3 linked regions of the Rhinolophus ferrumequinum genome follow. The protein of the gene in region 1 interacts with the protein of each later gene in a pairwise test. Links are inferred from orthologs where the notes say so. Each region holds a gene or a part of one and is shown in the gene's direction. Other genes may lie near its edges.

Region 1 (7,254 bases):
GAGAATGAAGCTCTCAGGAAATCCTAATACTTCAACCAAACAGTTAACAAAAATACACAAAATTAACAGGGCAATCAGTCCATCAGGGAGAGGATGGCATTTGAGCTGAGCTATAATATATGGAGAATGGGGTAGAGGGAGGTTAACACAGAATCCACTCATTCATTCAGTTCAACAAAGGAAAGTATCTAGCAAGTGTTAAGCAGTGTGAAAACAAAAAGTCTCAGTCCTCAAGGAGCTAATCGACATGGGAACCCAGAAATCACGTGGTTAAGGGCAATGTTAATTAGAGACATTCACACAGCATGATGAGGGCACAGAAACGTATCTACCCATTGACAGAGGGAAAGTTTCCTGAAAATGACAACTGAGCTAAGTCTTAAAGGATGGGTCCAACTTAACCTGGTAGAGAACATTTGGAGAGAGGTCAGTTTGGTGTTACTAAAGTACAAAGAAGGTACTGATAAGAAATGCCACTAAGAGGGGTCATACAATACAGGGCCTTTATGTACTGCTAAGGAGCGTGGACTTAATTCTGTAAGTGAAGGGGAACCACTGAAGAGTCTGAAGCAGGAAAACGGCTCATTCAAATCACAGGAATAATATAATCAGGGTGTTGGGGGGAAAAAATGTGGCAGCAGTGTTATTCAATGGTCTCGAGAAGAAGACACTGAAAGCAGAAGTACCAGTTAGGAAACCCACACAATACTTATACAGAAAAAAAGGGAGGCCTGAATTTGGGTAATGGTTACGGTAACAGATATGGGAGATGTTGTTTCACAGTTGTTTTCAGGCCTTTTCTGGAGGTATGTTTCAAGTCCATAACCAGATTGTGAACTCCTTTAAACAACTTATACTTCTTTTATATCTACCTGATTCTTCATCATGGCACGAATATAGCTGATTTTCTTTTCTCTCTCCCTATTGCGCCCCCTCCCCACCTTTTTTTTAAACCTCTTCTAGGTCCTTTACCACTAGACTGTAAGCCCTCATATTTTATTCATCTTTCTAGTCCCATTGCCTATCAGAATACCTGGCACATAGGAGGGGCTTATTATATATTTGCAAAATTAATAAAGCCCTACTACAGCACCCTCCTAGCCAGCTGTGCTTCTCTGGGAAAACTCTGCATTGAAAACTCTAAGAATAGGGTGGTGAACACACAATGGGATTTATAGATGATGTAATACAGAATTGTACACCTGAAATCTATGTAATTTTACTAACAATTGTCGCCCCAATAAATTAAAAAGAAAAGAAAACTCTAAGAATAGTTAGCAGTCCTGAGAGGAGGGGATATTTCTCAATTAATCTGGTAGCCACCCTGGAAGGTGTACAATTTTTTTTCAATGACTTTGTTTAACTCTACTTTGAAACTCCTTCCAGAGATGGGGCATATACTTTTAAAATATTCATCGTGGCGCAAATCTTTTTCCTTTTGTGGATTTATTATAATTTTGTAAACAATAAAAAAATTTAGAACTAGATCTATTACATTTTTAAAAACAATAATTGATTTTCATAAACTATCTTAAAAGGCAATTCCAAAAGAAGAGTCCCCAAAATGTCTTGTACTATTGTGGAATTACTAGAACAAGCATACGGTTGGGTTTTCAGTGTATCTAATTTTAAGCACAACATTGACTTGAATATCTACATACTGATAAACTCCATTCACTCATAGCAAATACTTATGGAATGCCTCATCAGCCATTAATCTAGGCATTTGGGATATATCCGTTAGTAAAACAAAGAGCCCTGCCACTGTGGAACTTACAGTCTAGCAGGAGGAGGCAGATAATAAAAGCTAAATACAATAAATACGTAAATGATGGAATCCCTTGTAAGGTGACGAGTGCACTATTGTCCCTCTGTTACTGAAATCAAAGCTCTTTGTCCTAAGAGCAATGGTTGCATTTAGGATCAAGTTCAAAAAGTCTTACAAGCACTTCAGCCCCTCCTGCCATTCCAGCCTCCTCACCCACTGTGTGCCTGTCACACTAGCTGCTGCTTCTCTTCTACAAACACACAAGGCTTCTTCCCACCTCCACCCATGCTCTCAAGGACTTTATGTTGGGGTGTGTGCGTGCCACGGGAAGTGGGGATAGACAATAGCAATAGCATATTAAAACACAGAGTATGTGGGAAGGTGACGAGTGCTATGAACAAAATCGAACTGATGCAGGGGATCAGAAGTGGGGGCTGTGAGCGTAGGGATGGTAGACAGGTGGCAACTTTAAATAACATGGTCAGGGTAGGTTTCGTGAAGAACGGGAGAGCTGCACAAAGCCTTAAAAGATGTGAGGACTCCCCATCTGCCCCCAAACCTAGATGTACTAGCTGTGGGTGAAAAAAACAGGAAAGAAAACTACTCACCAATCTTTACATTATGTTCTGGGTGCTTTCGAATGAGCTCGACAATCTGGCGGGCGGCTTCTTCTTGGGAAGGAAGAACCAGAGCTGGATTGCAATTGGTGTTGTCTAGGTATAAGGTATGGATCTGTTTCCCCACGCTCAGGGCTGGCTCCTTTAGCATGGATGGTGTATATCGAAAATCACCTGAAAGAATATATGGTGTCAGAGGGTCAGAGACAAAAGTATAAAACACAAGGCTCTCCAACAACAGATGGGCATTTGCTTACTGGCCTGTGGAAAGCTATCCTAGAGTCTGGTACTGAACAAATACGTAGAGTACAGCTTCCTTGTGGATATGTCTCCATCTTGCTCCTGTTTTTTTCATACTCATGACAAGGTTTGGACCCTTAAAGAGTGGGAATTCAGTTAAGGAATGGAATGGAATGCTTGCATGGAATGAAGCTAGGAGACCTCTAGACATCTATTATGAGTTAAGGCTGCTCAAGAAAAGTAGTGTCTAAGTGGGGAAGGTAGGAGGGACCCCTTCAGAGGCCCACCTGTGTAGAGGATGGTTCCAAAGTATCCTTCAAAGAGAAACATGACAGAGCCAGGGCAGTGGTTGGCATCCATTAGGGTTACGGTCATGGTCTCTCGCCCAATTTCATCTAGAGGCAGGACATGGCTCTCACCAACCTCCAGGGCTCGGATCCACTGCTTAGATACCTGAGGAAATAAATAATTGGTCATCCCGTCAACACAGATTCCCCTCCCTGATACCTCCCTGGCCCAGAAATTATCCCTTTCCGAAATCAGGGAATGCTGACCATCTAGACAGCGATTCTCAAACTTTCCTTATCATAATAATACCTTGGGGCATCTTTTTTAAAAATTCCAACCATATTTCCAGGACCGGCACCAGCTATTATCTACTTAATCGCAAGTGGGAAGAGACGAAGTGCTGGAGAATCTGTATATCTACCCAAAACATTAGATGAATTCTTGTGATGCCGCAAGTTTGGGAAATCCTGGCCTAGCTTATGTGAAAAGGTGGAACGAGTTTCCTTAGTTGGACTAGAAGATCTCCCTAACTTACAGCTGTAACATCCCAGCCTGCCAGTTGGAAGCCACACTTCTATCCTGGGCTAAAAATGCAATTCTGGGTTCCAACTCCCGCATTTGTAACAATCAGTCCCTCCTGGTCCATAGGACTCCAAGGCAGTGACAGATCGGCAGTCCCCACCCTGATCCCTAGACCAGCGCTCGGAGGCCGACTCCAGCCCCCCCATACCTGTAGGTGACGATGCAGGAGGAAAGCAGTGATTGGGGAGCAGTAGAGGGGTCGGGCCCAGGTGCTAGTCAGCCCCACGGTGTGGTCCGAGTGCATGTGGGACAGAAAGAAAAGCCGTGCGGAAGCAGCCCGGCGCAGGCTCCAAAAGTCCACAGCGATGGGCGTATGGGGGATCTGGACTCCGTTCATGGTGGCGGCGCTGGAACCACCAATGGGGTCTTCATAGGAATAGAGCTCCTGCGTGAGCCTCCTACAACGGCCCTGAAAAAAGTCACGCTGTGGCAAGAACAGGCCCAGAGAACCTAAGGGAAAGCCAGCCCAAAGAGGAATCAGTCACTAGAATGTGCAGAAAAAAGAAGGAAGTGCTCATGCTTAGTGGAGTCCGGGGGTGGAATCGCACGCCGCGGAAGTCGCTCAGTAGAGCGCCATGCCTAACCGCGCGCGGGAGCCGGAGCCCTCCACTCAAAGCGCGCGCGGCCGGGCGGAGACAGGCCGAAGCAGCCGATTTCCGATCGTCCGCTGCAGCTCCACTAGAGGGAGCTACGCGGCTGCGCCCGGAGGTGAGAGGTTGGGGGAAGGGCACCCACAGGTCGGGGCCCAGGCTCCGCTCGGCGCTCTCTGGGAGAGGGTGAGTGGCAGCAGCTCTGCGTGGTCTCTCGAAGAGGAGGCGGGACTTCCGCAGAAAGCGTCCTTTGGCTTATCCGTGACGGCAACCGCGTGGAGGCACCCCAAAGGCTGGAACTGAGAGGGAGGGGTCTGCGGACGGTCGGCTGCCGGGCTGGGAATTGAGCGGGGGGCCTAAAGGTAGTGCGAGAGACCTGTGGGTGGAGCGAACCGGCCGGCAGGTCCCGGAAGGAACCGGAGGGCCTAGGGTGGGGCCCGCCGGGGAGCGGAGGGGACCGAAGCTTGAGCGTGGCCCATCCCTGGGGAAGCCACGGCTGGGGCGAGGTCACGGCTGTAGTCTCTTCTCTGACTGACATTTCCTTTACCCAGGTTCTTACATCGGGGCTGGAAGGAGCCCACGAGTTTCCTAGGGGGCTGTGGGGATTGCCCCGGGCCTGTCCGAGAAGATGCCGTACCTCGGCTCCGAGGACGTGGTCAAGGAGCTGAAGAAGGCTCTGTGCAACCCTCACATTCAGGCTGATAGGCTGCGCTACCGGAATGTCATCCAGCGAGTGATTAGGTACCACCCGACGCCCTCACTCCCCCGCTGGGGTCCCATCGGGGCTGTCTCACCTCACGTGGGAAAATGAACTTGCACACGTGCCAGTGCTATCGTTTGGTTTTCCTGCTTCCCTGGAGTGCCATCTCAGCCTCCCTTGTGAGACTTATTTTTTGGCTTCGTTTATTCATCTGGGTGGTTTCATCCATATCTCACACTGCTGACTCTCAGACCGATAATAAATATATCTAGTACAGACCTCCTTTTTTATCGTCAGACCCGCACATCCTACTGCCTGTTGGGCATTTCCACCTGGATATTTTTCCAGAGACATGCAAAATAGCACCCACATCCTTCCCCCTCCCCAAACCTGCTCTTCCACTTACGATTGTGTTGACGAATGTCACCACCTAGCTGACCAAGCGTGGGAGTCAATCTTGATGACACCTGATCTTCACTTCTCAAGTCAGATGGCATGGATTTATAGTTCTAAATACCCACCCCCGCCCCCCTTTTTCGACACTGCTGCCCGTCCTGGTTTCATTACCAAAGCAATTGCCGTAGCATACTAGTAGGTCACATTGCCTCCTCATTTCAGTCAGGATGATTTTTCCAGCGTATAAATCTAAACATAACATGTCTGGCCTCCTGTGGATCACAAGCTTCATTGTGCACCAGAGTCCTTTGGGGTGCTTTTTTAAAAAACGCAAATTTGTCATCCAATCCAGTAATTCTGATTTCAGTACGGCGGGATGGAACCCAGGGATCTGCATTTTAAACAAATATCCCATCTGATTCCTATAGGAGACCATAGTTTGAGGAACCGTGAGCTACAGAATAAAGTCCAAACTTATCGTAGCACCCAAGGGACACTGGGCTAACTCAGCTGCCTGCAGACTTTCCAAAGAATTGGACCATTCTTGCTCGCGTCTACGCACCTCACAGCATGTACTATCACACCTGCCTGGTGAGCTCCTGCTCATTCAGCTAAAGTATTACTTCCTCTGTAGAAACATTGTATGACTTCCTGGCAGTAGTAGATCTCTGGATCCTCACTGCCTCTGTGACTTCTGTCATAGTACTTATGTAGCGTACTGTAATTCGTGGTGGTCTTGTCTGGCTCCTTAGTAGACACTGAGTTCCTAGAGATCTGAGACCGTGCCTTTTTCAAGATTATGTCCCCAGAGTGTAGCCCTGGAGTGTAAAAGCTGAATTTCACTGAAATATACTAGAAATTAATAAGTGTTCTTTGAATAAATAGAAGGCCGTTTATTGCAGGCCTTTGGTGTTTTGTGTAATATAGTAGACAAGGTAGACCTGGTTGCTTCCCTCTCAGAGATCACAATTGAGTTGGATAACCAGGACGTGAATAAAATAAAATGCCCTCCGTTGTAGGTTGGGAATGAGGTATTTTACTTTTTGCTGCTTTATGTGTTGGTCTCAGGCACATGACTCAGGGCTTGGACGTGTCTGGTGTTTTCATGGAAATGGTGAAGGCGAGTGCCACTGTAGATATCGTTCAGAAGAAGTTGGTTTATCTGTACATGTGCACGTATGCCCCCCTGAAACCAGATCTGGCTCTCCTGGCCATCAATACACTCTGCAAAGACTGTTCGGACCCCAACCCAATGGTGCGAGGGCTGGCACTACGGAGTATGTGTAGTCTCAGGTGAGCATCCTTTTCCTGTCTGTTTCTTAGTGGCTGATGAATTCTGGAGGTCATGGGGCAGGTTTTCAGTAATGACAGTCTACGTGAGCTCCTTCATAGTGGGGGAAACACTGTTGAAACCTGAACTCAAGTTTTCAGCCATTGCTTTGGCTTAAAAAGCTGTATCATATGGTTTCATTAAAGGGAGTTTTCCATTCTCTAGGTGAAATAGTTTTTGGTTTTGGTTGAAGATATCTAAACAATTTATGTATGTTTTTTTCTTGCTGCCGATGCAGCATTATTCCAAATGAAAAGTCAAATACGGCTTTTTAAGTTTGGCAGCGGCTTTCTCCAATTCTTCATGATCTTATAGATGCACATTCAAAAATCTCCTAAATCCTCTGTTAAGTGCACAGGGGCTGAATTGTGTCAAAACTAGTATTTCAGGATCTGGCTGACTCTCGGATGTGTTGCTTAGGATGCCGGGTGTGCAGGAATATATCCAACAGCCTGTTCTCAATGGTCTGCGGGATAAGGCTTCATACGTCAGGAGGGTGGCAGTCCTTGGTTGTGCCAAGATGCATAATCTTCACGGAGAATCTGAAGTGGGTAAGTTTCAGTGTAATCCATCCTGATCAATACTTATTTGGCCTTGCACATTTGTAAAATATTACGTAGCCTTGGTAGAAAATAATAATGTAGCCCTATTTCTGTGCATGTCTCTTTAAGGAGGATGCAGGGCTTGGTATTTTCTGAGATTAGAGAAATCCTTTCTTTGGGGCCCAGGTGAGATCCTTTGCC
Region 2 (7,056 bases), on another chromosome or scaffold:
TGAGCCCCTGCTTCCCCCCAGGCAGCCCTCTGGCATGTGCGGCTGCCTGGGGCTCCTCCCTCGGATGTCTTTAGGGGATGGAGGCCGAGGAGCGGGAGGTAAGTCACGTGACCAGGCACCTGTAACAGGTCACTCCTGACTGCCCACAACAGGTGGTGCAGAAAGACCTGTGTGTAGCTACGAGTGTTCGACCTTTGTCTCACACGTGAAGCCTTCCCACCGGTAACCATAGAGCGAGGTCTGCCTTGTTCCCTGGGGAGGGCTACAAAGCAGGGAAGCTACCAGGAGGTAGGAGCAAGTTCAAGGGACAGGTGCCACCTCGGATAAACAGCCACATGGATGAGGCTGGTGACACGGTGACTGGAGGGGGCAGGACAATGCGCTAACCACTGAGGAAGGTGCGTGAGTTCCCTGAGCCCCCCGGGAAGTGAGTATGTGAACTGCCTCCCTGAGCTGGGAAGCAGACATCCATGTGCTCTCAGCCATTCTGCTTCGGATCCCGGAGCAGCAGCAAACTGCCGGGACGCGAGTGCTGCCCAGCCAGCCTCTGCCCTCACAGCCCCCGTCTGACCCACCGAGCCAGGGGCACCTGGGGTGGGGACACCTGGGGCGCATTAAAGCCTCAGGGCAGGCAGCCCGTCCTTGGGCTGTGGGACGCCCCTTGAGGGTCCCCGGACAGCCTCTCCCGCCTCGGGTCACGTCCGTGTCTCCTCCAAGCCTATTCCTCCACGTCCTTTATGAAAACGTGTAAACACAACACGTTCTTGACTTGCCTACAGTGCTTGAGGATTTCCACAAGGCTTTCGCTGGCATAGCATTTGATCAGACAGGGGTCAGAAAACGTCCTGGCTGAGAAACAGAAGGGACCTGCTGTCGAATGACCGGGCAGGACAGAGTCCAGCGCCAAGAGAAGGACCAGTCTGTTTCCAGCACAGTCCACTTCCACGCCAGTGAAAGCCGGCTAGCGCGCTGGTTGGAGGGCTTCTCAGCCCGTCCTCACCTTGGTTGTGAGGACAATGACCTATGGGCTCTCCTTACACCCTCTGTAAAATGGGGTTGTTGCGCGGGGGAAGTTGGGGTACCACGCAACCCCTCGGCAAGCACTGGGGTACCAGCGGTTGAAACCGCGCACACAGCACACACGCGGGGTGCTGAACACCAATGACGCTAACGGTGCTCCGCTGGGAGTCCTGGGTTGAGGTTGGTTTGGGCTTTCCCCCCAGGCGACAGCACCACAGGGAGTTACAAAGCGCTTGCACCCACGCCGTCGCCCCGTCACCATGCTCATGACATGCACGAGCTCCGTGGCGGCGGGGGTCGCGCGGCGAGGGCTGGTCGGTCGGCGTGCAGCGTCTGAAGCACCAGCGAGCACCCAACACCCGCAGGAAGAACGGGAGGAAGGCCAGCGGATCCCTCCCCCGAGGCGGGGCTGAGAAGTGGGAGACGGCGGGGGGCGCCCACCTACCGCGGCGGCGAAGCAGCTCCGCAGGGCCTCGAACTCCTGCGCGCAAAGATCCTTCCTCAGGTGGCCGCCCGGAGCCGTGGACGCCTGCACGCACCTGCCGTAGGCCGCTGCCTGGGGGAAGGACGGGGGCGGGCGAGGGTCGCGGGGGCCCTCGCGCCTGCCCCCAGTCAGCGCCCCGCTGTCCGTCCCGTCTCGCGCGATCCTTCCTGCGCCGCAGGCATTACCCCCCACCCCACCCCGACGGCTCCTTACCTCGCGCCCACAGGCCGCCAGGTTCTCGGGGAAGGCGCGGAGGCGGCTTCGCACTCGCCCCCACACCACTCCGTTCCCGGACATGAGCGGCTCTTCCTGGCATCCGTGGGCGCCGCCATCTTGGGTCCGTCCTCTTCCGGCGCTCAACAGCTTGATAGGTCGACGCTTCCGCCCATAACTTTCCCTACGCTTTCTAATTGGCCAGGCTTCTGTCAGGAACCGCGCGTGTGGTCCCTTAGAGCCTTACAATTGGCTTGTATGCTTGTCTGTTTTTGATCTCGGACTTCGGATTGGTTCAGGCTCAAATTGTTTACCGTAGTAGACCTCAGGGCCCGCCCACGCGAGCGATTGGTGAGCTGGGCCAGACCCACGCGGTGATTGGAGGAGCCCGGGGACGGACGGAAGTGGGGCGGGGCCGGAAGGTGACCGTGATCATGGCGGCTACGCCGCAGCTGCGGGACCGCCTGAGCTTACTGCACCGGGTGAGTGCGGGCGGCCTGGCCCTGCTCCGTGCCGCTTCCCCCGGCTTGACTTGGGCTAGAGCTGTCTTTCTCCTTGGTGCGCCGGGATCACCGAATTGCGGCTCCTCCCGGGTTCGGCGTCCCCTCCGTTTTCCTCTGATCCCCTTCTCTCCATTCCAACTCTCCCGGCCCCTCCAGTCCCCTTTACCCATCACCCCCTCCCAAGGCTGCGGGAGTCGACTCCGTGTACGTGGCGTGGGCAGGTCAGGCCGACCCGGCGTCAGGTCCACTGGGGGACAGTCAGGCTACTGAACAGAACCCGAATAGGAAGAGAGCTGGGGGTCGCGGATTTCTGTTTTCTTTCCCAGCTTAAAGCGGCTTCACAGAGAGAAGCACAGCGAACCGTGTTCAGGATAAACAATGGCCAGGCGCTAGTCTGGGAAGCAGGAGAAAACAGTGACTGTGCCCGTGGGGGAAGGCGCTGAGCTCCGTTCCCATGTGTTTCAGAGGACTGGGCGTTTTAAAGGGAGAATGAGGGGAGAGTGGGGCTCCCGTGACACATGTTGAGGGGCTGGGTAGGGTGAGTGCTGTCAGGCCAGCTGTGTCCGCCCACCAGCGGTTACGGAGGTCCGGGTCCTATCGCCCCCCAGGGACTGGGAGACAGACCCTGCCTTCATGGTGGTTCAGGTCCTTGAGGAAGGCGCTCCTGGCTTGTAGGACATCCGTGTTCACAGCTGTAAGCCCTTTCCAGTAAATGCTCCAAGAAAGGGAGGTCGCGGCTTGTCGCCCGGTGTTGGCCAGAGTGAACAGTCAGTTCTCCTGGCGCGAGGAGCTTTCTCAGGCAGGCGTTTTACAGGGGCTGGGGTCATCCTCGTGCTGCTAGAAGCCCGGTCAGTTCTCTTAGCACAGAGGCTTTTTTCCACGCCCAGAGTTACGTGGTTCTACAGACCTCTCCAGCTCCACGGTGGGTCTCGGTGGACAGATGGTGTGAGTGGTGTGTGCCCGCAGCCTCGCGTGACATTCAGGCGCGTGTTGTTGTGACACTGTAGACAGCTGCTGTTCAAACTGTAATCTGTGGCAGCACCTAACAGTCTGCATTCTGAGTGTCCCTGAGGTCTTGTGTCCTCTCTCACGCCGAGGCTCACGCTCCCCAGCTGATTTTCATCCTTGGAGACAGTATGTCTTTGTGCTAACGAGTCCACGCGTCATGTGAATATGTTTGTGCTAACAAATAAACGTAAGACACAGCATAGGCACTTCTTGTGGGTTATTTCTGTGGGGTCTGTTCCCGGAAGTGGAATTGTTGGGGGGGGGTCAGGCCTCGTGGATATATCACGTTTGCCGATCTGTGCTCTAGAAAGATGGACCATTCCCAGTCCCCTGCATGGAAAAGGGGCTCACCCCGAGCTTTTTTGTTTTTGCTACATGAGAAGTAGATGTATTCAAGGTGCCTTTAAAATGTCTTGCATGTCTGTAAGCATAGAGGCCTGGGGGCCATGTCACACATCCTGACCCAAGCAGAGTGGTGTTACCACGATGGTCCAGAAGGGAGGCTCCAGCAGGCTCTTTGTGGCTGTGGGACCATTGCTGTCCTCGCCGGGGCCTTAACCAGGTGGCGTGCCAACAATGACATACGTGGAAATCCATACTCCCAGGAACCCCAAGAGCTAGGACTCCCAACAGCCCTTCAGGAATGGCGGCCTCTTTGGTGGCTGTGGGGCCACCCTGTGTACAACGGTCACTTATGGGCGGGGCTCTTGCTGCCTTTCAGCTCCCGGTTCTCCTAAAGGGAACGTCGGATGATGACGTCCCGTGCCCGGGCTACCTGTTTGAGGAGATCGCCAGTATCCTTCCTGTGTCCACACATGGGGGCCCAGAGCAGCACGCAGGGTCCCTGGGGTTCTCCCATCCGGAGGGGGTTCCATGGCCCCTTTCCCATAGTAAAGGTGTGGGCGGGGTCTGAAAGCCACATTCCTGATGACGGCCCAGGACACTGTAAAGCGTGACGCTCCTAAAACCAGGTCCTGGGATGGGTGCCTGCAGGGAGGGCACACTGAGAAGTTCAGCGGCGGCGAGGCCTGGGCTCAGCTCGCTCCTTCCCTAACCGAGCGCCTCCCAGAAATCTCCCACGAGTCCCTGGGCAACAGCCAGTGCCTGCTGGAGTACCTTCTGAACCGTCTGCACAGCGGCTCCGGCCGCGTGAAGCTCAAGGTGAGGCGGTGAGTGGGCCCTGCAGGCTGATCCTCGCGGCCAGGTCGGGCCTGAGCTCCGGCCCGGGGCCATGAGGAGCGAGGGGGTGGTCGGGCTGTGCCTCGAGGCGCCCTCGGGGCCCAGCCCAGCCCCCCGTGACTGTGCCCGCAGGTGCTGAAGATCCTGCTCCATCTGTGTGCTCATGGCTCCTCCTCCTTCCTGCTCATCCTCAAGCGCAATCCCGCCTTCATCCAGGAAGCTGCAGGTGTGGGGGCCGCACAGCCCAGAGGGAGGGCCGCAGGGAGAAGGGCGGCCCGGACAGGCTTCAGCCAGACTCCCTTAGCCGGCCACCTCACCCTGTTCCGCCAGCGTCTGCCTGCCTGCCCACCTGTGGGCACTCCTCTCCGCCCACCATCCCGCTCCTCCAGGGCATTGCCGTCTGCTGCTGTGCCCGCTACTGGCGCATCATTACCGTTTCCATCTGTGCCCTGCCAGACTTTGCACATCTGTCCCCAGTGCCTGGCACGCAGTGGTGCTCGGCAAACGGCTACACCGCCCTCCCCTGCCATGGGTTCTGTCCCCGGGCTGCCCCTAAGGGCCCGAGACCGAGGGCGAGCTAGTAAGCCTTCCGCTCACAAGGGAAGGGCCATGGGAGGCTGGTCAGGAGAGGTGGGTGCTGGCCGGTCACGTTCCAGGCCCTAGGTGGGTCTGAGTGGGGCCCCATCCCTCACGCCCAGGCCAGGACCGGCGTGCTGTCTTGCCAACAGGGACTTGGGGGCCCGTGGCTGGAGATCTCCCAGTTGGTGGGGCAGGAATCGGCCTGGGGCCCTCTAGGGGGCGCTCCGCCCTCGGACCCCATCATGCACCCTGAAGGAATCTTTGGAAGGGCCAGAGCCACCCTCACCCGAGCCGTCCCCGTCCCCGAGAGGGCAGCGCCAGGGAGGGGCCGGGCCGCTGTTGACCACCGCTCGCTTATCGGAGACCTGCAGCTGACCGTGGTTCTTTGTTGGCACCAAAATCTGTCCAGTTACCATCGGTGCCCATGAGCTCTGAGCATGGCCCCAGGGGCTGTCAGAGCGGTTGGGGACGAGGCTAAAAGAGGATGGCCGTGCTCACACAGGAGGGCCGAGCGTCTGGGCCCCAGCAGTGGGTCCCCTGCAGCTCGAGTCTTGGGCCCTGTGGGGAAGGTGGGAGCTGTGGCTGGGACAGCAGGGAGCTGCTCGCCTTCCACTGGCTGGTTCGGCCTCTGACGGGCAGCCCTGGCTGGGCACGGGCCGTCGTCTGCACTCCGTGGGGCTGGCACCAGGGGCTGGGCAGGGACGTGTGTTTGTGATGAGGAAGCAAGGAGCCTGAAAGGATGAGGCGGATGAGGTCCCTGCAGAGATGGGGGCCTCCGGCGTGTGCAAAGGCCCCGAGGCAACCTGATTGGCCACAACGGAAGCTTTCTGACGGGGAGCCTGGCAAGCCTGAGGTTGGCGCAGGGCCACAGGAGTCTTTCAGGCCGTGATAGGAACTTGGGGTTTTATCCTCAAGTCCCTGGGAACCCCTAACGGGTTTTGAATTGGGCAAGACCCCATTCGTGTCGCCTCTGGCTGGAGAGAGGGTTGAGGGGAGGCAGTTGGGTGGCCGAGGCAGAAACGCCGGGGAGAGGCAGTGGGGTGAGAAGACGCCGTGGTGCCGTTCTGGAAGTTGGATCCTGGCCTCGGCCTGTGGGGGCGGGCAGAGAGGGCCAGGGGGCAATGGTGCGTGTCTGAGAAGCCACATGGGGCGGTGGGTCTCAGAGGAGGTGTTCTGGGAAGTGGGGCTCCCCCAGGCTTGGGGGCCTGGAAGTGATGTCACACGGGATTCAAGGTCAGACCTAATGTTTCAGAAAGCTCACCCTGCCGGGACGCAGGGAGGGCTGACCTGGGCGGGCCGTAATGCTGCCCCTCCTGCCTCTGCCCTGCAGTTTTCACTGGGCCCCCGGACCCTCTCCATGGGAGCAGCTTGTACCAGAAGGTGCGGGCGGCCGCCCAGGTGAGCCGAGGACCCAGGTCACCCCAGCTGCACTCCTGCTGTTGGACCAGAGCCCCGTGTGTGGCTGGCGCTTGGGGAAAGCGGCAGGGTTGTGGGGGCACGCTGGGCAGACGTGCGGCCCCGCTGAGTGCCCTTGCCTCCTGTCTAGGACTTGGGGAGCACCTTGTTCTCGGACGCCTTGGCCCCTCCGCCTCCCTCCCAGTCTCCCAGGGTCCTGCCTCCAGCAGGTATGTGACCCACCGTGTGCAGGCCTGTCACGGGCTTTCCATCCTGGGGGCTCGGGGTCTTCCCCCGCCCCAATGCCAGGATGACGTGCGCTCTCCCACAGGCATGGGCTCCCAGTCCAGACCCGAGGGCACCCTCCAGGGCTTCGGCTACAGCAAGGATCCAGGCCACACAGGTGGGTGAGCGTGGGCGCTCGGGTGTGGGGCTGGGCCCAGATGCTGCCTCAGCCCAGGGGCGTGGAGGGCAGGGCTAGAACCTGGCACCCCCGTGTTGACTCCCGCCACCTTGCTCGGCTCTGCGGGAGGGCAGGGCACGTACAGCCGGGTCTGCCTAACCCACAGGTGAGGGCTCAGTCCTGAGCTCAGGCCCGTAGCCCCTGGCTCCTTGGAGGGGGTAAGGGCAGAGGGTGGGGGCTGCCTGTGACAGGTGACTTAGAGCCAAGTGGCA
Region 3 (7,941 bases), on another chromosome or scaffold:
TGAGCAAATATGAAATATCCCTCTACTCATCAAGAAAGGCCCAAGTTTCTAGCTGTCACACAGCCCGTTCCCTCTAGATGCAGACCTCCCACTATCCAGGAATTAGGAACCAAGGTCCATAGTCCTCTTGGGATCCAGGAGTCTGAGGACCCATACTGTTCCTCCCCTCTCCCCCGATGATGATTCAAAGCCCACTGCCTCTTGAGGAACTGGGAGGCTGTGTGCAGGCCTATTCTAAGGAAACACAGACCTGTCTCTTTGTGGCTCAAAGTCCAGGGGCTCCAGCGCCCTGGAGTTCCCAGACCCAGTCCTCCATACTGGAATCCCCAGCACATGGAGAGCCCCTTATCAGGAATCAGGGCTTCCTCTCCCCCTCCCCCTGGAGGACTAGACATCCAATAATAGATCCAGTTTCTACTCCCTTGAAGACCAAGATATACCCTCTTCTAGGAGTTCAACCCCTCAACTCCCCTCAGAACACAAGTCTGGGGGTCCTGCCCAGTGATCCCCAGAATAATCAGGAGTCCTGACCTCCAGATTCTATTCTCCTTCAAGACTCAGGAATCCGGGTGACTGGAAGCCACATACCCCAACCAGTAGTCAGAGCCTCATCCCATTCAAACACCCAGGATTTGAAGTGCCTGGCCCGGTGCTGTTAGCTTAGAGGCTCAGATATCCCATGCCAGAGACTGGACCCCCAACCCCCCTCACTCTACACGGGACTTGGAGTCCTCAGCCCCTGGCGGAGCAAAGCAGCCAGGAAGCAGAGCACTCAGGAAGTCCCAACTGTGATCCCTACCCCTCACTGGGCAGGCGCATGGGGTGCCAGCACTGCCTCGGCGTCTGCCAGCATCTCGTCCAGCGCCTGCAGGAGGACACCGTGCGCTGCACGGTAACCCAGGCCACCAGTGGCTGCTGCGCCACCCGCGGGCCACAGGAAGGAGAGCGCCCCCAGCGCTGCGCCCCCAGCGGTGCCCTCGCCTGCCCAGGCACCCAGCCTCGCCTCCACTTCAGCACGCGTTACCGGGCCCGGGAAGTGCGTCTGCTCTGCCAGCTCCCCAGGTGCCATGCCCAGCATGCGCTCGCGTCGGGCCAGCGCCGCTGGTTCGAGTCCTAGTGCCCTCCGCCACTCTGCCAGCTGACCGCGCAGAAGCGCCACGTCGCAGGCCCAGCCGAGCCCGGGTACTGGTGCGGCCGCTGCCGCCAGGCTGGCCAGCAGAGCCGGGCGCCACGCCCCAGCCCGCAGCGCAGCAACCTTCGTTCGGGCTGCGCGCGGAGACATTGGTGGCAGCGCCAATAGCAGCGCCCCAGCCTGGGCCGGGGCAAGTGCGCGTCGCAGCCACTCACAGAGCCCTGGGAGTCCGCCCCGCCGCAGGGGGAACACCGGCGGCGGCGCCTCCTCCAGTACCTCCCATGTATCGTCCTCCGGGCTCCAGGTAGCCGCACGCTCCGAGTCCCCGCTGCGTGATTGCTTCGAGCCACCAACCTGCTGCAAACTCTCGATGCCTGCTTTCTCTGAACCTTCCCCACTCCCTGCTTTCTGTGATCCAGTGCCCCGTTTCTCCCTTCCCTCGCTGCATTCCTCCTCCAACCCCCCTCCGTCTGCGTTCTCTAGGCTCTCGCCCCCGCCGGGTTTCTCTGCCTTTTCCTCCTCTTCCAAAGGCTCCGGATCCTTGCCCTGGCCGTCTGTTCGCACGCAGACCAGCGGTGCATCCGGTAGCACCAAGGGCCTGACCTGGGCCCAGTCCTCCTCAGTGGGGGCCCCAGGAGTAACGAGGATGACAGCGTCATAATGGGTAGGGTGGGGGACAGCAGCAGTGCCCGCGGAGCCGAGAGGTACGGTCCAGAGCACCACGTTGGAGCGCTCTGGGGCTGGGTAGGGCGTGGGTTCCGCGGGCAATGAAACAGGCACGGCCCCTGGGTCCCCAGGATCCAACCCAAGCAGCATGTTCAGCACAAGGCCCACGTCAGCCATGCCGGCCACAGCCAGGTCCAGCCGCGCGCTGCCCAGTCGCTCCAGGCTACCGCGAACCCAAGACAGTGCCGCCTCCAGACCACCGGTCTCAAAGGCTTCGCGCACAGCCTCCAGCTCTGCTGCGCCCAGCACCTCGAAACCATCCTGAGCAGGTGGCAGGAGCCTACGGGGACAGGAAAGGATGGAGTCAAGGGCAAAAGAGGCTAAACGCGGGAGAACTAGGCTAGGGGGACAGGACTGGGCTATGATGACAAGGGTGGAGCTTTGTGAATAATCCCCGCGTGAGGCAAGAGCAGGAAAGGGAGGGAGGGGGTCGAATAATGGCACAGCCGACAGAAACCAGGACTATAAAGAAAAGGATAGGGCTTAAAGCAGGAATAGGGCGTCTTGTTGAGATCAGGTTTCTCACAGAGCCTAAAACCAGGACCCCGCCTAAATCCTCCCGGAGACAGAGTACTTGGGGGCGGGGCTTCTCCATGGGACCTGCAAGGTTAACAAAAAAAGGCCGTGCTGGGCGAGGCAAAACACACAAAGTGGGCTTTGGAGCAAAGACAGAATCCCAACTGTATTGTGGGCTTAATGAAAGTCGAGTACTATTCACTATTCGACATGGGCAAAGTCACCAAGCACACTTTTTCCTGAGACTGGGTGTAAGGAAAGGAATAAAGACCAGGGGAGAAGCCTCATCTGCTAGTTCCTACCAAGGAGGTGTGGCTAAGGAAAAAAGAGAAGCAGTGGGGTGCCGTTGGAGGAGAGGTTGCCTTGGAGGAGGGGTTGCCCCTCTCCCACCCTCATTTTTAATATCTATGAAATGAGGGGACTGCGTGTTGTGGGAGACAATTCAGGAGGTAGCCAGCAAGAAGGCACAGAAACAAGAGGGGATTAGAAAAAGGAAGTGGGGGAGAGCACCCAGAAATAACAAGGCTCACTGAGGGTGTGGCTTTGGGCGACTGGGATGGCTTGAGAACCAAGCTGACAGCGCGGGCAAGGAAGACTTGACAGTGTACAAGTCTTTAGGTAAAATCTTCACGAGGGTCACTAGCTTGTGGTGGGAGGGTGAGCTCTCCTTCAAACTTTTGCCTGGAGGTAGTATTTTGGCCATAGGTCCTGGTTTCTCCTAGAATATTCATTAGGAAGTGGGGCTTGTGACAGAGCGCTCACAGGTGGGACCTGGAATGACAAGTCCGGACCTCCAGCTGGCCTCTGGCTAGGGCCGGGCCTAGATGACAGAAGAGTTAAGCACAGAGCGCTCGCTTGGGTGGAGCCTCACTGACCTCAAAACCTGCGCTGAGGGGCGGGACCTGGATGCGGGAGCAGGGCCTCCAGCAGGTATCCCGTCAAGGCTAGTCCCAAACTCGTTGGGGGCGGGGCCTCGCAGACGTCAAAAATCACTTCAGTGGGGTGAGGTCTAGACTGTATAGGACCAGGTCCCCCCAACCCACACTGAAAGGCCGCGCTCACCTCTGCAACGCCTCCGCCTGGCTCCGCAAAGCTCCCCGCAGGCGCTCCAGCTCCTCGCAGCTGTCGCTGCTGCCGCAGTCCGTCTGCAGCACGAAGAGAGGCGCGGCTCCCAACCCCGTGCTGTTCAGCAGGGCGGCTGTCTGATCCCGGGCCTGGGCTTCATTTTGTGAATCCCCAGGACCGAGGTTCCGCACAGCCAGCAGAGGGGTCCCTCGCGCCATGGCGGCCCGCGCTGCTTCCCCCAGCGCTGGAGCCAAGGGTTCGCCATTTCCCCCGGGGCCGGGCAGCACCAGTACCAGCACGTTAGCCTCCGCGGCCCAGGGCCCCGGAGCTGCGGGGGGGCAGCTCAGCTCGCCCAGGAAGAGGCCTGGGCCCGCAGCTCGCAGGCTGGGGACCCCGGGATCCGGCCGTCCATCGGGGATATCTACCATCTCCACATCCTTGTTGCACAGCGCTGCGATCAGCGCGGACTTTCCCGAACCCGGAGGCCCCAGGAACAAGGCGGTCACGTCACCCCGCGGCGGAGGCATAGCTGGGAAGCAAGGGGTGAGGAAGACCCAGGTCAGGAAGACCCAGCCATTTTCTTTCCTAGTCCTCCACCCTGCCCCCTTCCTTCCATTCTCGATTGTCACTCCCAAGGATCTAGAAAACCGGCGCCCAGACCCTATTCCCCAGGGACCCCGAGTCCTATCCAGGCCTTTTCCTGGATGTGTTTCCCCTTCTGTTTCAAAAACTCAGAAATCCGGCCTCCAGCCCCGTCCTCCCTCAGGGACAGATTTTTTTTTTTTTTCAGTCCCCCTCGCCTCCCAAATCACCAACCGAGCAAACAGCCTTCACACAGAAGAGCGCAGTTGCCGGCAGTGGGTCAGCGGCTGAGAAGCCCGCCCCTGGGTCGGGCGGACAGAGGCCGAAGAGGGTGGAGCACCGGGATTTGGGGATGTCTAGACAGGATCCAGGCTCTATCTAACCTTACGTCACTCCTTTTAGGAGGTGTGTCTTGGAAGCATGATCTTAGGGACACAGCCTTTCCCAGCGCCTGCGCAGAACGACCGAAGTGCACTCGCTCCTGAACTCCGGCTGCGGCAAGGGCGGAAACAATGAGGGAGCCAGAGCGCCTGCGCGCCAGGAGCGCCTAGCACCCTTGCGCAATAAACTTAGAGCTGTACGGCACGGGGGTCTCGTAACGTCATCATAACGCACCCCTGTGCAGAGAAGGACCCCTCCCGTTATTTTTGAGGACTGAGTAGGAGTGACTTCATCACTGCCGGTTGGCAATCCGAGATCTCGGCTTCGAGAAGCTCACCAGGCGAAAGGGAGTGGAAACCACCGGGACCTTGCGACTCGGTGGGCCCTATCCCGCTTCCCTCCGGGTGGTGGCGCTGTGACAGGCTACTGACAGGCACAACGAAAGGCAGCCCTCTGCTGTCTGGAGAAAAGCAGAGGCCTGAGCTACCAACCTGGGGAGGGAACCGAGGGCAGTGCTTGAAGCAGTGGGCACAGCGGCTGAAATCGCGCGTGGGAGGCGGGGGCTCTGGGTGGAACAAGTTGCAGGATGTCAGAGAAAGATGTCTCCCGGGACGAGGCGGGCTAAAGCGTGGGTACCACTACCTGTCTCAAGACAGGTAGGAGACGGGGAGGAGGATGGTGTCAAAGATCAAGGGTTCCGCGCTCTGAATTCAGGGAGCTAGTCTGATGTAGGTCTTAGGTCTCACACAGGTGAGATGGCGCTCAGGGGAGTCACAATCTTTTGGGAGAGTTGAAGCTTCTCTAGTGAGAGCTCCATCAGGTCAGAGTTCAAGGAAATGGTATCTCGCGGGGAAGGGGGGGAGTCAAAAGCTGGCACGGAGAGCCTCTACATTAAAGGTCATCGAATTAGCGGGCTCTCTAAGGCTGGGGACAGACGAGCGACTTCATTTGATTTACTATTTCCTCATGTGTACTCCTCTCTTGACCAGAGGGGTCCTAGTCACCATGGAGGACCCACCCCCTGAAGAGACCATGGAGCAGCAGGATTTGTCCAAGAGGAGTCCCCGCAGTACCAAAGGCGACATCTGTGAGTACAGCTGGCCAGAGGAGGGTGGGGTGCAGGAGCTGATGCTAAAAGGATTTCTACAGTATTTCAGTGTCCAAGGCGCTGCAGGCACTTGTTGGGGAGCTGCCTTACCAGAAACTGACACTCCCCATCCTTACCCATATGCTCAGATGCACCCACCCTGCTTTGTCCACCTAAATATGAATGGAATGCAGTTCAGAGGGGCAAAGTGGCATCCAGAGACGCTTGGGGTGGGAGATGTGGCACGGAAAGAGCAGAGACTGTGAGAAGAGCCCCAAGGTTCCAGTCCCAACTCTGCCTCAGACTGTCAGTGTAACATGGGCCTTGGTTTCCCAATGTGTCAGAAGGGGTTCCACTACTCACCTCACAGGGTTGTTACGGGGATTAGCAGCAGAACAGAGGAAAGCTTGAGGCTAATGAAGGTAGCCAGTTTGACATAATCATGGCAACAGTTTCTACTGAATGTTTGCTGTGTGCTAGGCAACTATCACTCCTTATCTCATTCAGTCCTCCTAACAGACACCATGAAATTGGTTATTACCACTTTCAGATGTGGCAAACAGGTTAAGTATTTATAACAATGACAGCCAGTGTCAATGCCCTCCAGCCAAAGACCCCCTCCCCCCGCAGGAGCACACCCGTAGTGGGACAAGTTGGGTTTATTGCTTGCTCACTGCAGAGGAAGCACACACCACACACCATGGGGGCACTGTGGGGCATCCCAGTAATAGTTACAAAGGACTGATTATAGGATTTGGGTTTGTGGTAGGTGATTTTGCGGAGAATTCAAAGGGTTTTGCTCTGGATTGGATAGTGACAGGAAGCAGGGGCAATTGAATGGTCGGCTATCTTAAAAAATCTAGAAGGCAGAGGAACAAAGCAAGGCACAAGCTGTGATTGGTAAAGCAGAAGTCACTCATATATTAGCCAGGACGGAGGGTATTTGGTCATTTTTGTGGCTTGGAAAATGTTCCCATTTTGTGTTCACATGCTATCATGGCATGGTCTTGTTGTCTGGATTCATGTCAGTCAGAGAGTAGCCTTTCTGGGGATGTTCTGTGACATTGTGTATGTTCAACAGGAGCCTATCTGTGAGTGCCAGGCCGGCTCCTGGCTGTGGGGCTGCTTTTCTCTTTCTCAATAGTAAGAATTGCAAACCATGGTGTATGACTATTCTAAGCACTTTACATAAATTCATTCATTTATTCCTCACAACAACCCTATGAAGTAGATGCTGATACGGTTTAACCCCATTTTCCAGATGAGGAAACTGTTGAACCTGCCTAGGAAGTAGCAGAGCCAGGATTCAATTCCAGGCAGTCTGGCTCCAGAGGCTGTGCTGTAAATAACACAGCTCTGATGGAAGGGCAGACTCCCTGGGTTCCAGTCCTGACTCCATTTCATTTCCTAGCCTCATGATTGTGGACAAGTTGCCCAACCTTTTGGAGCCTCGGCCTGATCATCCGTAAAACAGGTCCAATAATAATTTGCCTGTACCACTATCCAGCCCTGGCATACAGCCTGGCACATAGTAAGCACTGAATGTTAATTGTTGGCATGATTCTGGGGTTTGGGAGAGGTCCTGGAGACTCCTGCTGGCCTCCCCCGACCTCTCCCCACGTCCCTCAGGCCATCTGGGGGCCCTGCAATGCACCCGCTGCCTCATCACCTTCGCCAATTCCAAGTTCCAGGAGCGTCACATGAAGCGGGAGCACCCAGCGGACTTCGTGGCCCAAAAGCTGCAGGGGGCCCTCTTCATCTGCTTCACCTGCGCCCGCTCCTTCCTCTCCTCCAAGGCCCTGATCGCCCACCAGCGCAGCCACGGTCCAGCCGCCAGGCCCTCCCTGCCAGTTGCACCCACCACTGCCCAGCCCACCTTCCCCTGTCCTGACTGTGGCAAGACCTTTGGGCAGGCCGCTTCTCTGAGGCAGCACCGCCAGGCGCACAAGACCCGCGACCCTCCTGGCCCCTTCGCCTGCACTGAGTGTGGTCAGGACTTTGCCCAGGAAGCTGGGCTGCATCAACACTACATCCGGCATGCCCGGGGGGAGCTCTGAGTGCAGCCTCAGCCCTCCCTAGGGCAATGGAGGCTCTGCAGCCAGTGGGACCCACCTCTGATATGGGACAGGCCTTTTGAGGGACTTGCTTCCCTCCCTGGAAAGGCAAAGGGCTCCTGGTAAATAGGACCCAGAAGATGCTCATTTAGAGTTTCAGTCTTTGGAGGACACAAAGACCTTCAGAGTAATAGGAAAATCAGACAATAGGGAGATCTTTTGTTTAAGAGAAAAAAAATGAGCAAGAGGGAAAATTGTTATTTGTATCTCCCTCATTCCCAATTAAATAGTTTGAACTCACAAGTAGCTGCAGATTGTGTAATCACCTTTAATTCTGCCCAGATGAATGCCATGGGCTGTAGAAGCAAACTGCCCTGGGTTTGTGCCTGAATGGGTGG

What was found.
Region 2: the proteins of AP4B1 (region 1) and TEPSIN interact in binary tests that used the Homo sapiens proteins (3 or more experiments, as listed by UniProt). The link is inferred for Rhinolophus ferrumequinum from reciprocal best matches to the Homo sapiens genes AP4B1 and TEPSIN.
Region 3: the proteins of AP4B1 (region 1) and ZNF576 interact in binary tests that used the Homo sapiens proteins (3 or more experiments, as listed by UniProt). The two-hybrid records come from large-scale screens. The link is inferred for Rhinolophus ferrumequinum from reciprocal best matches to the Homo sapiens genes AP4B1 and ZNF576.

What each region holds. Positions count from the first base shown.
Region 1 is NC_046305.1:44,783,794-44,791,047, reverse strand, and holds the start of AP4B1 (AP-4 complex subunit beta-1), read left to right. Parts: upstream 1-4,184; 5' UTR 4,185-4,203; intron 4,204-4,213; exon of another isoform or gene 4,214-4,271; intron 4,272-4,295; exon of another isoform or gene 4,296-4,447; intron 4,448-4,636; 5' UTR 4,637-4,713; coding exon 4,714-4,826; intron 4,827-5,609; exon of another isoform or gene 5,610-5,772; intron 5,773-6,249; coding exon 6,250-6,474; intron 6,475-6,931; coding exon 6,932-7,062; intron 7,063-7,254. Other genes in the region: DCLRE1B (5' exonuclease Apollo), read right to left, coding at 2,377-2,559, 2,913-3,078, 3,644-3,832.
Region 2 is NC_046304.1:54,242,548-54,249,603, reverse strand, and holds the start of TEPSIN (AP-4 complex accessory subunit tepsin), read left to right. Parts: upstream 1-4,033; 5' UTR 4,034-4,155; coding exon 4,156-4,389; intron 4,390-4,539; coding exon 4,540-4,633; intron 4,634-6,316; coding exon 6,317-6,384; intron 6,385-6,532; coding exon 6,533-6,611; intron 6,612-6,712; coding exon 6,713-6,784; intron 6,785-7,056. Other genes in the region: NDUFAF8 (NADH dehydrogenase [ubiquinone] 1 alpha subcomplex assembly factor 8), read right to left, coding at 1,466-1,576, 1,718-1,801. UniProt on the Homo sapiens protein: Associates with the adapter-like complex 4 (AP-4) and may therefore play a role in vesicular trafficking of proteins at the trans-Golgi network.
Region 3 is NC_046298.1:40,635,842-40,643,782, forward strand, and holds the start of ZNF576 (zinc finger protein 576), read left to right. Parts: upstream 1-4,870; 5' UTR 4,871-5,001; coding exon 5,002-5,030; exon of another isoform or gene 5,031-5,046; intron 5,047-5,079; exon of another isoform or gene 5,080-5,222; intron 5,223-5,391; coding exon 5,392-5,489; intron 5,490-6,900; exon of another isoform or gene 6,901-7,118; coding exon 7,119-7,546; 3' UTR 7,547-7,941. Other genes in the region: IRGQ (immunity-related GTPase family Q protein), read right to left, coding at 803-2,138, 3,437-3,966. UniProt on the Homo sapiens protein: May be involved in transcriptional regulation.